Linked DNA regions of Oreochromis niloticus. The main gene of each other region encodes a partner of the protein of the gene in region 2 in a complex. Links are inferred from orthologs where the notes say so. Each region holds a gene or a part of one and is shown on either strand. Other genes may lie near its edges.

Evidence for each region.
Region 1: baz1a (region 2) and pole3 share a complex: the UniProt entries of both Homo sapiens proteins name them as parts of the CHRAC ISWI chromatin remodeling complex. The link is inferred for Oreochromis niloticus from reciprocal best matches to the Homo sapiens genes BAZ1A and POLE3.
Region 3: baz1a (region 2) and chrac1 share a complex: the UniProt entries of both Homo sapiens proteins name them as parts of the CHRAC ISWI chromatin remodeling complex. The link is inferred for Oreochromis niloticus from reciprocal best matches to the Homo sapiens genes BAZ1A and CHRAC1.

What each region holds. Positions count from the first base shown.
Region 1 is NC_031965.2:5,276,466-5,284,638, forward strand, and holds the start of pole3 (DNA polymerase epsilon subunit 3), read right to left. Parts: upstream 3,036-8,173; 5' UTR 2,641-3,035; coding exon 2,575-2,640; intron 1-2,574. UniProt on the Homo sapiens protein: Accessory component of the DNA polymerase epsilon complex. Participates in DNA repair and in chromosomal DNA replication.
Region 2 is NC_031983.2:2,740,711-2,748,173, forward strand, and holds the start of baz1a (bromodomain adjacent to zinc finger domain protein 1A), read right to left. Parts: upstream 3,025-7,463; 5' UTR 2,876-3,024; exon of another isoform or gene 2,765-2,875; intron 2,561-2,764; 5' UTR 2,534-2,560; coding exon 2,421-2,533; intron 1-2,420. UniProt on the Homo sapiens protein: Regulatory subunit of the ATP-dependent ACF-1 and ACF-5 ISWI chromatin remodeling complexes, which form ordered nucleosome arrays on chromatin and slide edge- and center-positioned histone octamers away from their original location on the DNA template to facilitate access to DNA during DNA-templated processes such as DNA replication, transcription, and repair.
Region 3 is NC_031985.2:21,145,070-21,153,171, reverse strand, and holds the start of chrac1 (chromatin accessibility complex protein 1), read left to right. Parts: upstream 1-5,067; 5' UTR 5,068-5,152; coding exon 5,153-5,311; intron 5,312-5,436; coding exon 5,437-5,563; intron 5,564-7,867; coding exon 7,868-7,950; 3' UTR 7,951-8,102. Other genes in the region: protein naked cuticle homolog 2, read right to left, coding at 768-838, 944-970, 1,075-1,099; gatad1 (GATA zinc finger domain-containing protein 1), read right to left, coding at 2,300-2,490, 2,578-2,761, 2,892-2,951, 3,034-3,156, 4,006-4,185. UniProt on the Homo sapiens protein: Forms a complex with DNA polymerase epsilon subunit POLE3 and binds naked DNA, which is then incorporated into chromatin, aided by the nucleosome remodeling activity of ISWI/SNF2H and ACF1.

The sequences.
Region 1 (8,173 bases), on a different chromosome or scaffold from region 2:
AAGCCACATTCGCTTATTTTGTGCAGAATATTGTGGGACATTACGTTATATTGATCAGCCGCTGCCCACATTAAACTGTGACTGTCACCAGTTAATGTAGTTGTGTTTCCTGAATTAGCAAGTGTTGTTAAACAGGTGAACAGGATTTCCGGTGTTCCAGATTATCTGGCGTGGCAAATTAACTGGTGACGGTCGAACAGATGTGTGGTAGACTTGCTTTTAAGGAGCCGCTACCGACAAACCAGCAAAAAAAAAAACACTAAATATTTCATCTGTGACATTTGTGAGGTTACCTCAAACACAGGCCGTCCGTCTTGTTGCTGTTGAACAGCAAGATATTTAAAAATGTCGCGAGTTTACCTGGTGATATTCTCATGCACGAAGAGACCGCGAAAACCGCAAACAAATAAACATCACCACGCTGATACTGTTCACAAGACAGCAAAAGTAAACGATCTGGAGAATCTCGTCTTCGTTATCGTTCCCCTTGCACGTTTTATTACTCCGATTTCAGCGTTTTCGCTTCACAACTAAAGCGTGCAGTTTACTTTGTGAGCACTCAAATTGAGTCGAGTCAACTAGCATCACCTGTGGCCAAGTGCCATAGTCTACTTGTAACACACATCTGCACCACGTTTGAATTTGTTTCGTGCACAATACGTTTGTAACTTTCATTTTTTTCTGTTTGTGCGTCCTGCAAATAAACCTTTAAACTAAATGAAATGGTATTATGTAATTATTTTTGGCCTACATCAGTCGGAAATGCAAAATTATATACACAAAGTTGTAGAAAGTCACCACTCCCATTGTTCATAATGATTTTAATATTTTTTTCCATAACAAAGAAATATGTCTTGAACAAATATATTACACATTACTATTTCCCTAGTGTTGTAACATCACATCCTGTTAGCATAGTCTGCCTGTGTTTTTTCTCTGGAAATGAACATTTTGATCCAATATAGGTAATACATCAACATGGCTGGAGAGAGTTGGTAGTTATATACAGTCTGTATAAGTGTGGTTAATTTAACAAACATTTGTAAGGAGATGGGAGTTACTGTGAATTTACAGCAGTTACACAGTGATTAGTAATAAACAGAGCCAGTCTGATTGAGTAGAGCTTGTGAGAGTGAGTGGATTTAAAAAAGTGAGTGACTCAGGTGTCTCAGTTGGTTTGTCATAAGTTTTTGAGTGTTGAGGTGAGTTTGATTTTTTTTGTTTTAAAGCTAAGCTAAGAATATTCATAATTTAATTTCCAGAACTTGCATATGATGCAAGTGATGACTGACGTATCACATAGCAGCTGGAGCGGTCTCAAATGGAGTTCAGTCCACTACTGCCACCTGTGGCCAAGTGCCATAGCCTACTACCAGATGAACTTGTGACACGGCTGCACTTACACCTGGAGCATTCAAATCGACCCCCAAACATGTGGAAAGATGCAATGCCAGCAATGTGGATTGTCAGGACTAAAACCAGTCATTAAGCAAAGACAACAGGGATCTTTTTTTTTTCCTGTTTATTTAGCATTCAGAACATTTGTAGTCACCTTCTGTACAGGGGAAGTCCAGAAAAAACATAAATAATTCACAGTACCTGCCATCTCCTTATGGGAAAAAATATTAAAATCATTATGAACAATGGGAGTGGTGACTTCTATAACTTTGTGTATATAATTTGGCCAAAAATAATTACATAATACCATTTCATTTAGTTTAAAGGTTTATTTGCAAGACGCACAAACAGAAAAAAATGAAAGTTACAAACGTATTGTGCACGAAACAAATTCAAACGTGGTGCAGATGTGTGTTACAAGTTAATCTAGAGTCTAGATTCTAGACTATGGCACTTGGCCACAGGTGACGCTAGTTGACTCGACTCAATTTGAGTGCACACAAAGTAAACTGCACGCTTTAGTTGTGAAGCGAAAACGCTGAAATCGGAGTAATAAAATGTACGAGGGGAACGATAACGAAGACGAGATTCTCCAGATCGTTTACTTTTGCTGTCTTGTGAACAGTATCGGCGTGGCGACGTTTATTTGTTTGCGGTTTTCGCGGTCTCCTCGTGCATGAGAATATCACCAGGTAAACTCGCGACATTTTTAAATATCTTGCTGTTCAACAGCAACAAGGCGGACGGCCTGTGTTTGAGATAACCTCACAAATGTCACAGATGAAATATTTAGTGTTTTTTTGCTGGTTTGTCGGTAGCGGCTCCTTAAAAGCAAGTCTACCACACATCTGTTCGACAGTCACCAGTTAATTTGCCACGCCAGATAATCTGGAACACCGGCGAGCTGATCGGTGGTGTCGTGAGGGAAATGTCAGCACGTTATTTATGTTACAGAAAGACAGCGGATGGAACATCTGAAAAACGGAGAGTGGAATACATAAGCAAATCTAACCGGTTAACGTAAAAAACAGTTAACCTGGGTCACCGGCGACCTCCCAGAATTGCGTCCTGTATTTGTTTGGCGTATTTAAGCATCCTCAGCGTGTATAAAACAAACAAAAAGACAAACCGCGCGCGACATTGTGACTGCTATCGTCTTTCGATGTTCACACTCACCGCCTCCTTGATGATGCGGGTGATTACCGCGTTGGGAAGGTTCAGGTCTTCTGGCCTCTCTGCCATTGTTCTCACTGTTTAATGTGCATTTATCTGGGCCCGCTGTATGTGCACCGCTGTTTCCGCCGCTCTAGGAGAACAGATTTAGCCGTTATCGTTGCTAAAAGGCTGTGGAGGACTGTTACCGCTGAGCTAACCGATTAGCGTCGTTGACAATGCTGTGTGCGTGGAGTTACTCAGTTCAGCAACCCCACGATAAAACTCCCTCCGTTTCAGGGCGTACGTTATATGAAGACACTGATATTTATCTGTTAAGTCTGAAAGGTTCAACTACAAACTCCGGTTGAAATTGTACGCGTTCACGTCAGAGTCGACTTATTTTCAGACATTTCCCGCGAATCTTCCAACTACCACGAAGCTCCTACGTCAGCAATAAACTTCGACCTCTGACCTTCTTGTGACGTATGTCCGCTGTTAACGGGTGCAAAAAAGTCATTATGTAAAAATATTTTGATACAAATAAATGCATAAAACTGAGCAAAAATTCAAGAGTAGTCGTAAAAGTGTAATGTAAGTGTAATGTTTAATTTTCACAGTATAAAAAATGAAATAAAATATGAAAGTCTTCATCAAGGACTTGTGATTAACAAGTTAACTAATAAGGAAGCATTTCATACCAACGATAGAAATATCCTCCATTTTGGAACATACTAAGATCAAGAATTACAGTTAATTCTTATTTTTACAACAGCATTTGTTTCCATTCAAAGGCTTTATAGCTTTTCCTATAATACCTGGTGGGTACTCTAGTCATAATGCCCGGGTTGATTTTTTTGTCCCAGTCCAGCCCTGCCTTTAACACAGTATGTTGAATCTTAGCCTTGAATGTCCCACGTAGTGCAATGTGTAACATTTATCCATTTACTGCACCTGCAGTACCTGTATGTAGTCAAATGTGTGGTAATGATACAGATAATGAAATGTAGTTATTAATAAAAATGTATGTAATGAAGACCAATTGATTCAGTTGATTAATTTTCTCTGTGTGCTCTGTAGTGTGTGTCTATAAACGCCCTGAATGCTGTGATGTATATAATGAATATAATGAGCTCATTTTATAAAGTTATGTTATTAAATCCCTGCTGATATTTTGGCTGACTTTTATCATTTCAAGTGGACACTTTCAAGTGATTTTTGGGTGTGTAGGTTTGCTTGTTGACAACAACTTGGACTCAGGGAGATGACGAAACACCCACATCTGTTCCATACCACAGTCATGGAGGATGTTACAGCTTTGACAGCACTTTGAACTTAGCATCAAGCTCCCACACAGGAAGACCTTCAACCTTGCAGGAGAGACTGCCTCAGTGATGTTTGACTCTGTGTCCTCTGCTTTACCTCCTAATCTGTTTCTCCTTTAACACACAATTCAAATCATTTCTAACAGAGTCATGTACAGTTATTAAGAATGAAGTCTGTAACTTCCTCACATTTGTACTATTACTTGTTTCATGAGTTATATTTAGGGAGAGTAAAGTTATTCACATAAATGACTTTTTTCCATTTTGCATTATGTTGTAAATGTACAGATCACTAGTCATACTGAATGTTAATGTGCAGACCAGGTGAATATCAAGTCTAAACTTGTTTAATTACACGTTCAGCAGACATCAAAGAAAACATCCTCATCCAGCTAAACTGGTATATTTTTTCAACCGTATGAATTCCAATCTAAAGTGAATTCACTGTTTGAGCTCAGTTTCACTCTTTAACTCCCAAGAATAATACCTGGCTGAATAATCTTCTGGTTTGATGATTGGCAGATAGTTTAAAAACTTTTTGCTAAGGCTGAGAATAAGAAAAGAGAAATGCTAACTGAAAAAAACTACAACAGATGTCTGAATGCATGAATTATTCCCAGGTAAGGATATGCCTAAAAGTTCCTCTGGAAATTTTTCCATGACAAAAATGTTTTATTACGCATCCAAGTTACTTAAGTGTTCTCGGATGAGTTGTGTAATTTTTCTCCCACTGTAAAATGTTGTGTCCACTTGAATTTAACCAACTTTTTGAGGCTGAAAAAGTCGTTGTTAGATGCGGAAATTCTCACTAAAACTGAGCGAGAATAAAAGTTCTTACATAATATGTGAAACTGACCCCTTTGATCACAGGTCATCTTGCTAACACCCAAAATCTGGTTTGGTGTTTACATTTCTAATTTCTCCTCCTAATCACCTTCAATTAAAAGGTACAACCCAAAGCTGCTATATCTTAACAGAGTTTAAAGCACTTAACTGAGCGCAATGAAGGGGCAGAATGTAATATCCCAATATGATGACACATGGTCAGAGGTAACTCATGCATAACCCAGCATTTTACAAATGTAAACTTTCTTATTATACGTTGGATTTATTGGTTCTGTAGACCAGCTCAGGGATGTGAACTCTGCCACAGGTCTCATCATCATCTACCTAAAATTAAGGCATTTATTATTTTGTCTGTTCCCTGTTATCTTGCTTGGGGACAGATTTTTGGCTGATCTTAACAAGTGGTCATTGATCTCTCTCTGGAATTGCTGCACGGAGGATGTGACGCCTACGTAAAGTGCTGAGGTTTGTCTCTTTGTTAGGATGAAGCCATCCTCAGCTTCAGGTAAGGAAAAGTGGAACAAAAGATAATTAAATACATCTCTCCACATCTGCTGATGAATTCTTCAAAAACAAGAAACAGTTCGTTAAAAACACTTGAAGTAAAATTCACCACTCATTTACCAGTGACATCCATTAACTGACTAACTACAGTAAAATTAACTGGGACAGAACTGAATTTCAACAGTGTACTGTATAAAGTGAAAGTTTATTTGGCAGATGTGGTGTGATGCGTGTGTGACTTTCAACAGGATCCTCCAAAACTTTACAGTACTCATGCTACTTTACCAAACTCTTGATGCTGGATGTGCAGTTTCTGCTTTACATGCATTCATTGTTTATATTCAACAATCTAAGATCAGATTTTTCACGGGCCAAAGTTGTGTGTATTTCCACATTATTTACTGTTTACATCACAGCATTCCGAGCCTTTATAGCCAGGGCACACTGGAAAATTAAAAAACTGAATCCATTTCAGCTTTGGTTTTCTTTACATATAATTTATAAATAACTAAATTTCACTATCTGTATGTTTACCACACATTGATTACATATAAGTGATGTAGGTGCAGTAAATGGTCAAATGCTACATATACTGAACATTCAATGCTAAGATTCAACATACCGTGGTCAGAGGCTGTGTCTAGTTGAGAATGAATGTGTCCTCTTGTGTAATTACAACAAATGAACTTAAATCAGTAATGTCATTTCTACTCTCTGCCTTGGCAGAGGGCAGTAATATAAGGAATGATAAAAGTGACAGCTATCATTGTAATCACCCTTTCTCAGTTCTTTTAACACTTAAGTATCAGAAAGTTATTATGGTAACATCTGGACTGATGTGTTTACAGACAGCATTTTAATCATGGCTCAGTGATTTAAAGGCTGTAGGTTGCAGCCATTGCTCTAACAATGTGTATAAATGTTGAGTGAAAACACTACGTCCAAATGAACAGAATCAGTGTTTTGGGAAAGAATCCTTTCATCTAAAACAGAGGGATTATGTCACTTAGTATATCCTGCAAAAGTAATACATGTTCCTAAACAGTGTTGGTCAAGTTACTTGAAAAAAGTAATCAGTTACTAATTACTGATTACTTCCCCCCAAAAGTAATCCCGTTACTTTACTGATTACTTATTTTCAAAAGTAATTAATTACTTAGTTACTTAGTTAGTTACTTTTTAAAAACACGATTTACAACCTGAATAGGTGATAAAGCGATAGATCTTCCAGGCCAGTTCTACTTTTTCTGCATAATTCATCATACAAAATGTAATCAAATGGAAAAGTCTCTTTTTAAAACTTGTTTTATTAGTTTTAATCTTTTAACTTTATGCATCAAGCAAAAATTAAATTATATGCAACATTCTCTGACTGGAAGAAATTTGTTTAACATTTAAACCTATTTTCTGCACATTCCAGCACATAAAATAAAATTTTTTGTGTGTTTACACTCACTCTTTCAAATAGATGCAAGTAAAACACAGCAGAAAATAAATAAAATCAAAGACTAGCGGTCCTGTTGCTCTATTTTCACCTGTAAAGCAGGACTGGGGTAGGCGGAGGTTTACCCTGGTGCAGGTGTGCTGCAGCGGTCAGTGGAAGAATCCGCGAGTTTCTCTGTGAATTTCACATTACGTCGTGGTACACTCGGTGCTTGCTTGGAAGTTTAGGGTTTTTTTCGCTGTAAAAAGAAGTTTTCTTCCCACGCACAACGGACACATGTTTTTGTCACTTTTTATGGAATCAAACTCAAAATAAGGTCAGTACTTCCACGCTTTAAACGCTGCATGCTACACTCTGTCCCGCACTCGATATATTATGATCTGCACACAGCTGTTGTCACGAACGTCGCACTCGCTTACGTCACTGTCATGAGACGTTCTCGCAAAAAATCACGGTTTTAGTAACGCAGTAACGCAGCGTTCCTACGTGAAAGTAACGGTAATCTAATTACCGTTTTTGCAATAGTAATCCCTTACATTACTCGTTACTTGAAAAAAGTAATCAGATTACAGTAACGCGTTACTGCCCATCTCTGTTCCTAAATCATTCATAGATTCTGCACTTTATAATTTTGTCTGGAAAAATAAATATAATTATTTAAATAGATCTGTACTAAATAATCGTTATAATCAAGGGGGTTTAAATATGTTAGATTTCAATACATCAGATGTGATATTCAAGATGAACTGGATCAAATATTTCATTAGAGACAAACATAGATTATGATATTTAACACCAAACCTTAAGAATTCCTTCTTAAATGTGATTTTGATGTCAACAAAATTCCCATTCACTTATCTATTTTTCACAGACAGGCATTATCATGTTGGCTTCTACTCTGCACGTTTTTGTGTTTTCACCTTCAGATCCCCTGTGCCACCTGCTCCTGGATCAAAGACTTCCTCACCAACTGACCTCAATCAGTTCAACTACTTCCAAGCACTTTTTTCTCCAATGTGTGCTGTTCTATTGTTTTATATATATTCCTATGGTTTGTCTATATTCCTCTTGATTGTGTTAATTTTTCCTGTTTGTCATTTATTGGTGCTGTCTTGCTATTTATGTTTTATTCCAGTTTTAATTTCGTTATACATGTGACATGTGACATGTGACAACGACAATAAAGGCATTATTCTATTCTATTCTTGTCTACAAACATAAATTTTCCCAACATAAATCTCTTATTTGAAATAACAAAAACATTAAATACAAAAATAAATCAATGTTTTACAAGAAATGGATCCAAAATAATATTAATTATGTATCTAAACTAATGAATGAAAAACGTCAGGAGTTGTTGAGGACTTTTGATGTCCCAGGGTCTGTGAGAGAACACAGTTTTTGATGCAATTGCAATTATTTTTTTAAGGCTGCTACAAGACAGAAATGGACCAGATATAAAGATATAAAGATGTTCTCATAAATTCATAAATTCTCATAAATT
Region 2 (7,463 bases):
ATGAATGTAAAAACAAAGAATTACCTGATTTTTTTTTTTACCTGATTTTTGTTTCTAAGAAATATGAGATCCACATATGAGGATATTCGTTTAAAATTTCGATAGAACAGTAGCAGCATAATGTCCTTGTAAGTGGATATCAGGCCCTTGTAGAGCAAACTTTAGTATTTTGGTCTAAATAACCCAAAATGTGATGTCCACATATGTGGACGCCAGGTCCAAGGAGGTCAAATACAAAACTGAATGCAGAATAACCCACAAGCAGCAACTGAAGATGGCTGCAGTAAAGGTCCAGCAAACCAATGCAAAGGAGGAAACTGGTTGTAGACTTCAGGCAGACACTGAATTTTACATGTATTTACTTATGTAGAGCCAAAACACAACAACAGTCACCTCAAGACACTTTAGATGTTAAGTTAAAGACCCCACAACAACTGCAAGTGTGCACTTCAACATTATATTGTTTGATTTACAAAAGGCTGTGGTGGTGTACAGAAATAAATAAATAAATATTGTGTTTGTCCCAAACATTAGGCAACCAGAAAGCTCCAGGGTTAACAGTAAAGTTATCTGGATAATTCAACCTTCTGCTCTGTAGTACAGGCTTGTACCGTACAGCCTAACTGTTATGAAGCAGACAAACATCCAAAATAAGACTGAGGGTGGTATCCCTTACTAAAGCCAATGCAACGCTGTCTCAAGACAAATTAAAAGTATATATTAAAATCCAAAATTGAAAAATGTAGCAGGAGAGACTGGCCAAGTAAGGTTTGTGTGTCCGAAACACTTCAAGTTTCTTTAGTAAACTCTGTTTCTTCATAGTTTATTAAAATCTGTTAGATTTACAATCTACTTGATTAAAACTAATCAAATGATCTGATTAGCTCCCAGAAAGGGAGAACAGATCCCAACAAACATTTGTACAGAGAGCGTAATAAACACAAATGATACAGGTTACAGGTGTGTCATCAGTTGTATACGTAGACAGATATATTTGCTCCTTCTTTAGTGTAATTTTACATTCTTTGTATGTTCTTGTTTTACTTGAACTTAATTTTCCCAATCATCTCTCTAGGCTACCGCCGCCCCCCAAAACGCACATTAGGAAGCCCAAGCTTGCCTTTATCAATTATGCAACATCTGTTAACTGCCTTGTAGTCACTTTTGGGTTTCAGTGAGAAGACGTCCACAGAATGTGAATCTCTTTTTGAACCTACTTGGCTTTTTGACTTTTAACTAGAGGCAGTTAAAATATTGGGAACTGTTTCAATACGTGGGAACGAGGGATACAAATATGCAGGTGCTAATCTAGAAAACAAACCAGCAGATCCATCAATCATAATAATTATATGCAGAAGTAATTTTCAGTTTTGTCAATATCATAACAAAGGCTCCTCTAAGACTTGTACAGTATGCCAATATGAATAATGCTCAGAAATACAAGTGTACATGTAAATGCAGTCAGTGATTACACCATGTTAACTTCATCAAATGAAAAATTAGTACAATCTGCACATATTATAACTCTATGGCAAAAATATAAGCATGTCTCTATATAAAAAAGCCAAATAAAGGCAAAGGTTTATCTTACTTGAATGCAAATTTGAGGTCTGCCACTTTTTGTTTTGCACCGTTTTTTATTGCTAAAGCTGTCAGAAAAAACAGAAGTTGGGACTTGTCGTGTCATATTTGCCACTATGTTACAATGGAGCAGATGTATGAAGTTACATATAATGTTTAAGTACAGTTACCTAAAATTTGTACTCAAATCTGCCACGATATACTGAAGCAGTCAGCTGAAGACGTCCACAGTCCATTTGGCCCGAGTATCTTCAGACTGACGTCGAGTTTAGCGGAACTGTAACTTCACTTTGGAGTAAAAGCAGAGAACTTCTTTGATTTTTTTCCCCTCGGAAAACTGACCGAGTAAGTTCGCAAACTTCATGTGTGCTCTTAAAAAGCACTTTTAGTGCGCTGGACCTCAGCAGGTGGGTGCAACAGACTTGAACTATGAACGGATACCGAGCCTCACTACATCAAGCTAACAGCTAAAACTAGCTGTGCTAACCGCCGGCTCACTGACAGCTTTAGTGTTAGCTTACCCAGCTAACCCACTTTAGCTTCATTTGGCTAACTGACTTGGATAACATTACACCTGCCAAATCCCACCTTCAAACCCGACTACCTGCTTTAACCTACGTTTTAATGGCGCGGGAGAAGGGGGGGCATGCATCCCCCCGCGCAAGCCCACAAAAGTTTTCTTGGTTTTTTTTTTTTTTCAAGACAATAAAGTTGTTTTTTGTTCATCTTGTTTGGAAGTTTGCCAAGCACCAACTGTCAATGAGACATAGTTCAAACTTCAGTTCAAGTGACTCTTTAAAGAACCCCCCAGGTGAGACAAGTGGCTGTAAGGTACTTACTCGTAGGTCCTGAAGATTTCGTGCGTAATTTTACAGAGAAACACCTCCTCGTCTGGTCGTAGGTCCGCCGGGGGTTTCTGTCGGATGAAGGGTTTTCTGTGGAGAAGCGGCATCTTTCAGCTCCGCTTCCACCGGCCGCACTTAGAAAATAAGAAGAAGGAAACTGGATCACAATATCCGAATATCAGACCTAAACTCTGACCAAACACATCAAAGTAAAGTAAACCCGGAACCCGGACTGTGAACGCGGCGGAGATTAACCGAGTGGTAGGAGACAAGAGGAGGTGAGCGGGTCTTTTGTTAGACGCGCTGATAATCTGACCACATGGAAGTGTACTCCTCACCGTGTAAATCGACACACTCAACTCTTAGAGAGTAAAATAAAAATCAAAAAAGCCCACATCCACTCGCTCCTAGTGGAGAACAGCTAAAAACACGTTTCTGATGGTCTTTACCGAGTTGTGTAACAAAGAAGCGATAATACGCCGTCCAATCTGAGGAAGAAGTCCCGGGCTGAAAAGCCGCTCACTGGCGGCTTGTTGACCAAGTTTTCGTGTACTTCACGGACCTACAACGAGCTGGGAAATATTACGGTTTCGCTTAATCTGCATTCTTCACTAAATTAAAAGCACTACTACCACCGTTTAAAATTACTCTGTTACAAATAGAAATACTACATCTGAAATGTTATTAAAGTAAAACTATGTAAGTGTAATTATGAAATCAGAAAAAAATAAAGTACTAAAAGAACATATGATGGACACTGAATGAATTATTTCCAAATAGTTCCAAACCGGTCTCCCTGACCCATCACACCGTCTCTACTCCACAGTTATGATTCAGCAGAGCTCCCTCTCCGTCAGATTGATTCAGCTTGGTTCTTACTATTCTCTATAATGCTGTGTCATAACTATTCATTCAGATGATCCCAAAACAATTTTTGTACTATACCTTCATGCAGGTGTATTTCTGAGATTTATAGTGTACATATAATTCATTGCACTTTGCATCATTTACACAATGTTAGTCTTACTTTTACTGTTTTTAACTAACTTAATTTTTACTTTTCTTTGTTTTTTATCATTCCTATAAATCTCATAGTATAAGGCTCTCACCAGGTGCAGCAGTTTCCCTTGTGGGCTCAATAAAGTATCTCTCTATCTAGTTTTTGGTCTACTGATTCTATTGCTGTTACTGGTTCAAAGGGGGCTGTGATTCACTATTGTGTCACCGACAACAACTTATTGTTATTTTTATTAATCGGCTCTATGTTTTTCTTATTTCATATTATTTGCTGTGTATAAAAGCAATAATTACAAAGAGCCCAGTGACACAGACAAAAAATGTGTTTTTTCTTTTTCAAACAAATGTGTTTTAAATTTATTAAATGTACAGTTTAACAAAGAAAAACATACTTAAAAATGTGTGTGGGGGGGGGGAAGAGAAAAAAAATTAAAATAACACATTGTTAAGAAGTCCATGACAGTGTCACACCATATTTTGGATGTATTAAATCATCATGGCTGCACAGTAACATAAGTGTTGGGAGATAAACACAGTGCATAGAAACATAGAAAACGTATAAAAATGGCAGCCTGTGCGGCTGAGCAGCTGAAATTCTACCAAGAATATTTACTTCAGAATTATAGCAATGAACTATGATTAAAACAATAAAGCAAATACTCATAAAAACAAAAAGTGGAACTAAACTAAACTCCAGAACATGATCACAAGATGCAACAGCAAATAAGAGAAAAAAGAGAAAAAAGAAAAATAGAAGTATATCACGTTATAACGTGATATACTTCTATTTTTCTTTTGCCTGGGTGGCAGCTCTACGCTTCCGTAGAAAACCGCTTACTAAAACATTAAAAGACTTTGTTTCTAAATTGGTTAGCTTCACCCAAATGCACCATCCAGAGACTTGGTGGGAGGGTTTTCCTGTCTTCCTCAAAGGCTGTTGGTCCGCTGACCTGCCATGTTTTATCTGCCAACCAACCAGTCTTTATGAAAAGCCCCCCCACCTCCTTTCCGCAGCTACACAGAGCCGTAGATTGGAGACGCGCGTCATCATGGTTAATTCCTCGTATTAGTTCCCGGAAGTCGGCAAAATGCGCTAGCCGCGCCCATATCAGCGCATAAGTTTGACATGCACGTGTAAAAGGTAAAATGTTTTTGAAGAATGACACTGTATGTTATCAGCGTCCTTAGATCATATGAATTTGTGAATGAAAACATGTTAGTGTTTTTTCCACAGAAAATTAGTAGTGTTTTAAACAGATGACAGGTTAGGCTAGGAAACATATTATTAACCAGGAATAAGCACTTAATGATAAATGATTATATCTTATTGTTATTTCAACCAACAATATAAAATCAGAAAAAAAGGGCTTCAAAACTTACTTATGACCTATTATGATAAAATGATAACTGCACAACAATCAGGGGAAAAACTGTATTTTTGTGACATACAGCTGTAAATAAAGATTAAAATAGCAAATGTAGGAAGTTTTGTAAACAGTGCTTTGCTTTTGTGGTCCTGATGATTATTAGCATCTGTTTTATCTTACAGTTTTAAACAACTGTACCACACTAATCTTACAATACAATATTACAATATTAGTATATATTGATTACACGGTTTCATAGTAACTGATGACACTTGTCAAACATCATCAACCACGCCTCATGTCCTGATGCACTTACCTATTCCAAGCTTGTACAGGTGTGGACTGCATTTTCTGTCTTTTTGCTCTTCTAACTCTGTCAGCACAAGAACCACAGGAGGTCTCAGGCTGGAAACTCTGCACTGAGACAGCAGCCTGAGCCTGAAACTCATCTCCCTCAATGCTTCTGCTGCTGCTGCCCATTTACCTGTTTTTGTTGTTGTTCGCTTTCTTGCGTGTGTGTCATGGCCTTTCTGCTCACTGAATTAATTAATTGTAAAGGACCATACACCCATGGGTGTATGGTCCTTTACACTATATATTAATTAATTCAATTCAAAATTTAATTTATTTGAATTCAGTTCAGTTTTATTTATATAGTGCCAAATCACAAAAACAATCAGGATTCAACTTCACTGTCATTACATATGTATAAATACAGGGTAAGAAATACAGTTTGCATCTAATCAGAAGTGCAAGAGCAGTAAGTGCAATAAGAGCAGCTTATATACAGATAAGTTAAGTAGAGACCAAATATACAGATGTACAGACCTAATGTTGTATTCATATGTATATGTATATACAGATAATCTCTATAGCATACAGATGTTCTATATTGCTGTACAGATGGACAGATATACAGATGTAGCGGTGTGAGGTAAACAGATATAGAGAGTGCTATGAATATATCTACAGCAGTGGAAGCGTAGAGCTCTGAACAGACCATAATAGTGAACAGTGTAGGCACTATAACAGAGACTCTGTCAGTGTCCTAAACTATAGCAGCAACCAATGTGAGCATGTGGTGAATGTTGAGAATGAATGACAGTCATGATCATGGTCATTGGGAGGGATGGGGGGAGGAGGAGCATAGAAGGGTTAAGTGAGTGTGGATGGAAAGGGTCAGCAGGGTTCAGTAGGGTGACAGCTGTGGGGAAGAAGCTGTTCCTAAACCTGCTGGTTTTATTGGTTTCTTATTGGTTTCACTCTGGGACTCAGCAACATATCAAAGACATTATATTCTGCAAATGAATTGTGTGCATGTCAGATGTTTGTGCATGTTCGAGGTATTTCTCATCTTTGTTGTGATCAGTCTTGGGGTCGTTAGTCAAAAAAAGTAATGTATTACACATATTACACAGAAGACTTTTCTTAAAAGTAATTTGTTACCCTACTTGTTACTTGATAAAATAGCTGAAACACACTGTCTCATAATTACCTACCTCATTTTACCTTGCGTCATTTAAAAAAAAATAAAAGTAATATCCATATCCATGCTGTAGACAATATTTTCCTTCTCTGGCACACAAACTGAAATCCACTGATCCACAAGTGCAAATGAACCAATCGATCAAGAGGGATCGATATGCATGCAAACTAACAATTCAACTAAAAGTTGAACTACTGGGTACTACTCGAATCCCATTTGTACCTCAAGGCGCTTTATATTGTAAGGTAAAAAGACCCTACAATAATACAGAGAAAACGGAGAAAACCTTAACAATCATATGACATATGCGTTTTGGCAACAGTGGGAAGCTCCCTTTTAACAGGAAGAAACCTCTGGCAGAACCAGGCTCTGGGTGGGGAGGCCATTGCTGCAACTGCTTTGGGGTGAGTGGACAGGACAGAGACTGTGAAAGAGACCCAGAGATTAATAAAAACTAATGATTAAATCCAGATGTGTCATCGGACCTCCCACAGACACGAACGGAGGAGGGGCCAAAGGGCTGGAGTCCAGGTGAGACGGAGGTTGCTTTGGAGATGAGGAATTGGTGTTGTCTCTCTGCGGTGCAGTTACAAAACACAGTGGTGTTTTGTGTAGCTTATCTGTGTACTCAATTTAATAAATAACTTAACGGTAACGTCTTATTTCATAGTCTAATCTTCACTGTATGTTTAGGTATTCGCTAGCTTAGCTTAGCATGAAGCCAACCTGCTGGTAGCATGGCCTCTTCACCCAAGTGGGTGTGTCCACACATGGTCGATAGCCCCTGTGCTCTACATCAGTCTCTTATGGGCACACCCATTGTGGGTTGCCTACTCATGGGGGGCCTGAAGGGTAAAACTACTGTAGGGCCTAAATCAAATGGGGGGCAGTGAACTTTTTCTGAGGATAAGTTGATTATCGGTTGCCCAGAAACCCCAGAATAGCCAAACTGCTATGGGCTTTTCATGGGCTAGTCTACATAGGGCCCACATGAGTTTTATATAGAAAACACGCAGTGGGTTACCCAAAGAGTGAAGGCTGAACAGCAAACCCAGTGGAAGAATATGGAGGGGTGGAGAGGTGTACAAGAAACCGGTGCTTATTCACCAGTTTTAAGATCCAGGAAACTCGACCGAGGAGCGGGAGAGGGTGAGGGACTCAACTGAG
Region 3 (8,102 bases), on a different chromosome or scaffold from region 2:
CAGATGAAATCAGTGTTTTTAATCAGGTGGGCTAAGAAGCAACAAATTAAAAAAAACATTATTACACTTGATGCCATTTATGCAATGCAACAGCCACACTTCACCCACTCCAGCCCCAAACACCCCACCTCACACCCTCACCCGTCTGGCTGGGGCAGGAAAGCAGTCCCAGATGTGGATTTTTTTTTTCTTTTTTCTCTTTTTCCCCCTCAGTGAAGTTGGGCATAAAGACCTCGCTGTCTGGAGGGGGGTGGGTGTGCTGAACTTCACAGACTTGGAAGTCTCTTTATAGAGATGGAGGAGGAAGGGTGGAGAAATAAATAAACGACCACCTTCCAAACATCTTTTATGTCTCCTGGATAGATGTGAGCAGTTTGTCCCCAAGCTGGCACGACTGAAATGAAGCCCTGGACGCTGTGTTAAAGGCGTTTAAAGAGGCAGTGCGGTTTTTTCCTGCACCATAAGAACACATGTATTTGGCTTTAATGTTGCCTCATGTGCATTTATTTATTTGTTGAAAGCAGCTTACACAAAATGTGATTTTGCTTTTTGGGCCCTACATTATTACCGAAATTACTAGTAAAACCTGGCTGGTTTCCGGAGCTGAATAGTACCCGGGCATAACTGCACCAGCTTCAGGTCTAACCTCTTTTCTGTCAGCACCAGATCAGCGCAGTGATACAGGAAACGTACCTGAGGTGAGCGAGTTATAGGTTAGCTTTTTTAGAATTGGTTATTAATATAAGAACAATTACAAAACTCATTACCTCTGTCAGCTTTCTTCTGCATATGTGGCTACTCTGCGACTCTCTCAGCACACTGGAAGCCAAACTCCGTCCTGTAGAGGATAAAAGCAACCATTTATTTTTTTAAAAGAAAAGAAAAAATATTAATAAATCCATGTACAAATGAGCTATGACAGCATGTGTCTTTTCTGTCTTACCTTCTGGACTCTGCCTGGGCTTCGAAGCTGCCCAAATAATGAGATGACAATGAGCGCTAGTGATAAGACATTTCAAGTATTTCATTTCTAATAATAATAAAAAAAGAAGCTAACTAGATGTAACTTCTCACCGTGTTTGGACTGGAATTTGCCCATACTGTGATCAAGAAATGTTCACCATGTCCAGCCCAGAAAGGAAAAATAACTCAAGACATGAGGAAGAGTTTTCGCGGACTGGGAATTTCACCGACTACTCCAAAGTTTCACCGAGACGTTTATCCAAGAGTGCACAGGCAGAGAGAGGGATGACTGCCGCGCACTTCCTGCTTCGGTTAAATTCGGTTTGATTGGTTAGAGATCTGTGATACACGCGACCCAACCTTACGTCTGTAAATCAAAGTAACTGTTTTTATTGTGTGCGCGTTTAAACAACTCTGGACAGCATCCGACTGAGAAACGGACACAAACCACCGACTTAAAGACTTTTCAATGAGACGTTCACGGTCAGAGCTTCACTGACACAAGTGGGTTCATTCCAGTCTTTAGACACCACCAGTCTCTAACATTTTGACATAAATCAAACGTGACATTTGTTTAATCAGGATGCTAAAACAAAAAACAATCAGATCTCTCTGTTAATGTTTTTTTTTTTAAACATTTATTTGTATCATTTTTTTAAGGAACAAAAGACAAATCACAGGCAACAGTAGTGATGGAAAAGAGCTTTTTGTTTATTATCAAATACAAAAGTAACATTTCTATGGAAACTTGTTTCTGCCACTGGGAAAAAAAAAAAAAAGTGGTGTAAACAAGTTTCCATATGTTTCAGCATCACAGCTTGTGAATAACTTGTTCACAAAGCAATAAGACACATCCTTACCATCAACTTACAACTCGCCTTGAAATGTGAATTAATGAGCAGAAAACTCCAAAATCATTATCTCCTTAATAAATGAAGGAATCTCTGTATGCATTTTTCGTCTCTTCCCCTTCAAACTTGGCGGGTGTATGGACTGAGGCAGTGCCAAGTTTGATGTAATTCGGGGGGTGTCTCATTTGTGATGCTTCTTCCTGTTACTAGTCATTGAAAGACCCCGTCGCTCCTGTTGCTAGGCGTCACTAAAAACAAATGTCACATTTCAGACCGTCCTGTATCCTCACAGATGACACAGTCCTCCCAGATATCAGCGTTTATTACATTTAAACTTTATTTACATTTAAACCTCCACTGACTGCAACATCTACCACTGCAGATACTCTGCTGATGTGCCGGCAACTGCAGACCCTGCACTAGCATGATGAGAATGTACATTTATTTCTTTAAAAACAGAGTCCATGTCTTTAATCACAGTCCCACTAACTGCTGGCACTGACAGACTCTTTGACAGTGTGGGCCGGTGTGGGTCCTATGTGGGTCCAGATATAGCCTTTTTCTGGTCGTATTGGGATAGTAGGGAATGGGGTGCTCCGAGACTTGAAGTACTCAGAGGGGGCGTGGCACACAAACTCCAAATACTCCATCTTTCTTGGCAGATCCTCCTCTGGACCTATTGCAAAACATGTTTGTTTGTTTTTTTAAAGCTTAAATGAACAAATTCCATTAGAGCACTGCATGATCCAGAATAACTGCTCACCAACAATATAAGTGCCAGGATCGAACTGGTCCTTTGGGCTGGCTTGAGTGGGGATGAGCCACGTCAGTGCTGCACTTTTTTCACAGTACTGATCCTGCACAAAGCCTCGAATCTGAGCGTAGTAAGGCTTCCCGTCTTCTTCATCCGTTACCTTAATCACGTCTCCTATCTGGTAGTATACACCCTGTGATATATTGACAGTGATAAAGGATTAAGGTTTATTAAAGCAGTGATATAATTAATGCTTTGAAAAGATCAGAGCAATTTTAAGTGAAAGTATTGTTTCTCATGCCTGGCAACAATAAACACCGTACCTTATAAAATATGGATTCTGACGTGATGATAGTCGCTACGGATTCTGGTGCTTTGATTGGCTGAAAGGTTGGCACACACAAGGGTCAAACGCATGAACTCGAAAAGAAAGAAGAAAAATCTAATTTACATGATCAAACTTACATTTTTGAGTTTAAATATGTGTCGTCGTCCTTTTCCTTTGGTTGAGACTTTTTTCTCCGATGCAGGAGCTTTGTACTTGGTGCTTCTCAGACGTGCAGACCTTCTGTGGATCTCCTGCTTGGACTATAGACAAACACAAGAAGGGATCGGACAATTGACTGCAGCTTGTCAGTTGAAGAAGATGAAGAAAAATAAGCAATGAGACAATACTAAGACCAGTACTAACAACTACCAGTTTGTTTGTTAGTTAACTGATTAATCACTTAATATGAAAAATATTTCAGTAAAATGTGAAGCTATGTAATGTTTAAGGCATATAGTTTTACCCTTTAAGTTGGATTTCACTTGATAACAGACTGCTACATTACCAATTTTACTTAAAAATAAGGGTTAAATGATCTTGGGGGTTTGTTGAGATGTTTCGCCTCTCATTTAAAGATTTAAATACTTTCACTTTGTAGAACAAAAATGACTTTCATTTGAAGCATCACTTTTTATGTTCTCCCATCTGTATTTGGGCACAGGCTGCTGCACAAGAGCCTGAAAGTTGTGCCCAGTGCTTTCTCAGCCAATTATTATGATCAAATCTGCAACACCACATTTAAAACTCCTGGAGTCACACCGGCTTGTTTCTGTTAAACTGCTAAACTGTTTTACACATGAACAGTGAAGACTACAGTCTCGAAATGAGACCTGTGCTCTTCTAATAACTTTAGAAAAAATTCCCACAGACAGTGATCCTGAGTATTTAAACTGAAATAGAAAACCTTCCTATTTCAGCTGAGTGTGGTCTCCGGGAGCGCCATTATATTTTCCCTGTAGGATTATCTGTGAATGATGCAGCTGCAATGTCTGCACACAGCTCCAGCAGTCTAAAACAGAGCAAGAACCGCGCCTGAAGACAAACTCATGAGGCTTTACACCATCACAAACAGGCCTGGCTCTAATCTAGAAACACTGGGTTTCACTGACCTGTTTCCCTCCGCCATTGCTGGGCTGAGTGATGGAGGACAGGGAGGGTCCTGACGCCCCGCCGCTGGCGCTCTTTCCCGTGCAGCTGTTACACAGGATCTCTCCCTGGTTTCCTTTCTTCCACATCGAGGAAGAATTAGTCTTGCAAACGGCGCAACATGGTTTCAAACCCAGCGGCATCGTGGCCGCTTCTTAAAACGACGCCGGTGGGCGAAGAAACGACACAGAACTCACTGATAGGATGAAGATGCTCCGTTTGTGTGGCTGTGACTCCGACAGGGAGGCTGAAATCTTCCTTCTGTGGCACTTCGACTTTAAACAAACAGGTATGGCTCTGAGTTACTTGCGAGAACAGCCAAATTGATCAGAAACCTGGATTGTTTATATCTGTAGCCCATTTATAGCCACTACTAGCGGCACCATTCTTCTTCTGCGCTGGCGCCTGCCATCAGTTCTTCTTCTTTGGTTTAGATTTAGGTACAGGACTAAATCACGCGACGCCACTGGACTGGAGGACACAACGTTTAAAGAGGCAAGTGAGCTTGTGAGAGTGTGAAAATGTTGATTAATTTAAACCAATCGTGTTGTGGTAGTGATAAATTACGATTGGTTAAAACAACACAATGAGTAGGTAATATGTTTAGCTGTTTTTCTCAGATGCATAATGTACAAATTATTTATTAATTTGCCCGCTTGCACAAAATGAGTCTTACCGTTCCACTTTTTACTAACTTAATTTTTCTTTTACTTTTTTGAAATCATTGTTGTATATGTAAATTTTGATGTATAATGCCCTCACTATGCGCCTGTGACACTGCTGTTTATTTATTGTAAGTTGTACTATTTTTATTCATTATCCTGCTGTAACAAAGTTACAACAAATTTCCATTCATTCATCCACCCGTGTACAAAGATAAAAGATAAATATTTTAATTAAAGTGTTTTTATATATGTGTGTGTGTGTGTGTGTGTGTGTGTGTGTGTGTGTGTGTGTGTCAGCTTGTAAAAACCAGCCTCTCCGGCAGGAGGCGATGTTACAGCGTTGAGTCCGCCAGACGGTTTTAATCTGGTCAGACGAAGAAGAAACAAACCGCGTCACAGTTCAAAACAATACTTGGAAGTTCCGCTTGTCTCGCGCCCTGCTCTTATGAAGATGTCTCAAAACAGCTCAGGCAAAGACGACCAAGCGTCAGGCAGCAAAAAGCCGATCTCTCTGCCGATATCCAGGGTGAGGCTGATCATGAAGAGCTCCCCTGATGTCTCCAGTATCAACCAGGACGCTCTTTTCCTCACCACCAAAGCTACAGTAAGCTAAACCTCATCCGCAGCTCATTCATTTGCTAACACGTTTAGCACCGTTAGCTTGTCTAGGGCATGTGAGCTGAAGCAGCGCGTTTGTGTCTGTCTCCTGTTGTTTTGTTGTTGTTTTAGGAGCTGTTTGTACAACACCTGGCTCTATCCTCCTTCAACAACGGCTCAGGGAAGGAAACAAACAGCCTGTCGTACAGCGACCTGGCCAACACTGCTCAGGAGACAGAGACTTTCCATTTTCTCACAGGTAAGAAGCACCTGCAGGCACCTCAGCGGCCCTATGATGCACCAGCTGGTTACAGATCATACCTCAGACTGCACAGAGTCCAGATTGTTAGGAACAGTGAATTAATACTCCTGCCGTTGCTCTACGCACTGACTCACACAACGTCCGAATAATCGATTAATTTCCTGTTTCACACGATGTCTGAACCTACCTGCAGTGGCCTCACCCACAGTCTAAGAACTACTGTAATGATAACTGATCAGACTTTGGATTATTAGAGCGTTTAATGTGGTAACATAACCCAGCATCAGCAAGTGTAGATAAATGGGGAAACTGTGGTTCAGTTGTGGTCGTGTGTTTGCAGTTTCAAGGGATTTATGCTTCTGTTTCAAATCTACATCATAGAAACGCAACCCTAGAAATGTAACAGCTGTTCCATCACATTATTGTCTCCCCTAAATTGCTTTTGTTGTGTTTTGTGCACTTCTAGCTGCACCTCTCAGGTCCACTGTAAGGGACAAATATGTTTGTTTCCAAAAACAAAAACAAAAACAGAAAATAACTGACCACAACAAAAAGGAGAAAAAATAGCATTTTATTTGTTTCTGTCATAGCTGGTACTGCATATAAAACACTGGGACACCACCCTCAAGTAATAAACACACAAAACACCACAAAAGCATCAAGACTGGTAACAGCGTCAGCCACTTAAGTACATTACCCTGTAGGCTCTACAAAAAAATCATCGCAGAAGTCTAAAGGGCAAAATCTGGTTGAGCTGCGGTAGCATATTTGCAGTCCACTGGCAGCTTCAAACTAACTGTCTACCTGCAGAGAGCATCTGCTGTCAGATGCATCAAAAACATGTCATGTAACCGGTCTGTGGGTCTTTCTTGTGCTGTTGATGGTCCGTCAGCTGACTGTGGAAAAGAGTGAAGTTATAACATACAAAAACCCAAAGAGAAACTGAGTGTTAAAAGCAATCAAAAGTGTCCACTCCAGACATTGTCTGTGCTTTTTATTCTGTATTTCTGATCTTTGATGTTTTTTCTCCTCATGCTTCTCCCGCTCCTGGCCTGCCTGTTAACATGTGACCCTTGCAAAGCGAGCATTGGTTGACAGCCCCTGCCTGTAGCATCTCTGTGGTCAAATACAACAACAAACGGACATGATTCCATAAATTAAGCATAAGCAGGAGGGGTACATCAGGAACGGCATCTGATAAAACATTTGTACCAAATCAAACACGCAGATCAATCCGCTCTGGTTATCCCTTAGGAAATAAGGGAGCAGCTGACAGTACCTCCACCAGCTGAACACAAGAAGACCAAATTAATCGATTAATAAAAAAAATAATTAAATTAACTGATTAAGAAAAGAATAAGTATTAGAAACGCTGCTTGGTATGATGTAGTATAAACAAAAAGGCTCTAAAATCTCCATAAAACTAAAACTCATTTTAACAGTTTTAACAAAAATCAAAAGTTGTAACCTTCAAGAAAGGATGAGTTAGTTTAGCCAGCTTTACTTTAAGGATTATTTAAAGTAGCACTGTTTTTAAGTCTCTCAGGCACTGCTTTAACCCTTAAACACCATCAATAAGAGTTTTATCTCTCTCATAACTTCATTTTATCTCCTGTGGTGTTCTTGGGTCTGTATCCAAACAGCTCACACTCACTCACTGCTTTGTTACTTTTGAACGCCGGGCTGTCTGAATCCAGCGATTCAGGGGGTTTAAGGTGGAAATGCTCGGGCATGTTGCTGCTCGTTTTGCCTGTGATATCTGCGGTACTTCTGGCTGCTCAGTTGTTTTGGGAGAGGTCACCAGAGCGTGCATGTTTGATTTGGCACAGAATTACACTGGCTGCCCTTCCTGATGCTTTCCTTCTAGCCATTTATCCAGGCTGGGGGCAGAGACTAGGTGTACACCAGATTGTGTCCCCTTCTGTCGAGGCTTTGTAAGGCGAACATGTTAAACACTACACCGCGGAGCCACTTGTGCTCAGCATGTGTCTTCTGGACATATGATGATGTCAAGGTTTTAAAAATGGCTTTTCTGTAAAAACATTTTGTAAACAGTTTGTTATAATCTATAAAAAGTGAAATATCAGATGCATTTTAAATATACAGAAGCTTAAACATTAATGTGAAAGTAAATTTTAGTGCAGCTGTGCAGTGTGTCGACTCTTTGACAGCCAAGTTAAAACCATCTGAGTCTTCCTAATACTCTTGTGTTAATATCACTCACTGACCAGCAACAAAAAATGAGATCTTTTCCTTCAACTATGCATTTAAAAAAATTTTTTGCTTTGTTTTCCTGGACAGATATTCTGCCTAAGAAGATCTTGGCTCAAGATTACCTCAACTCTTTGGAGCAAATGCAAGAAGAAGAAGGAGCTGATTACTGAAACAGGTGGATGGTCCACATTTTCCATCTGGACAGATGTTATCACATCTACTCGTCCAGCCTGTCGCCGAAAGCAAAGTGACCGTCAGTAAAAGACACTTGAACTCTCAAGTTCATCTTCAGGGCTTTTGTAAGAAGTTAGAGGACATGGAA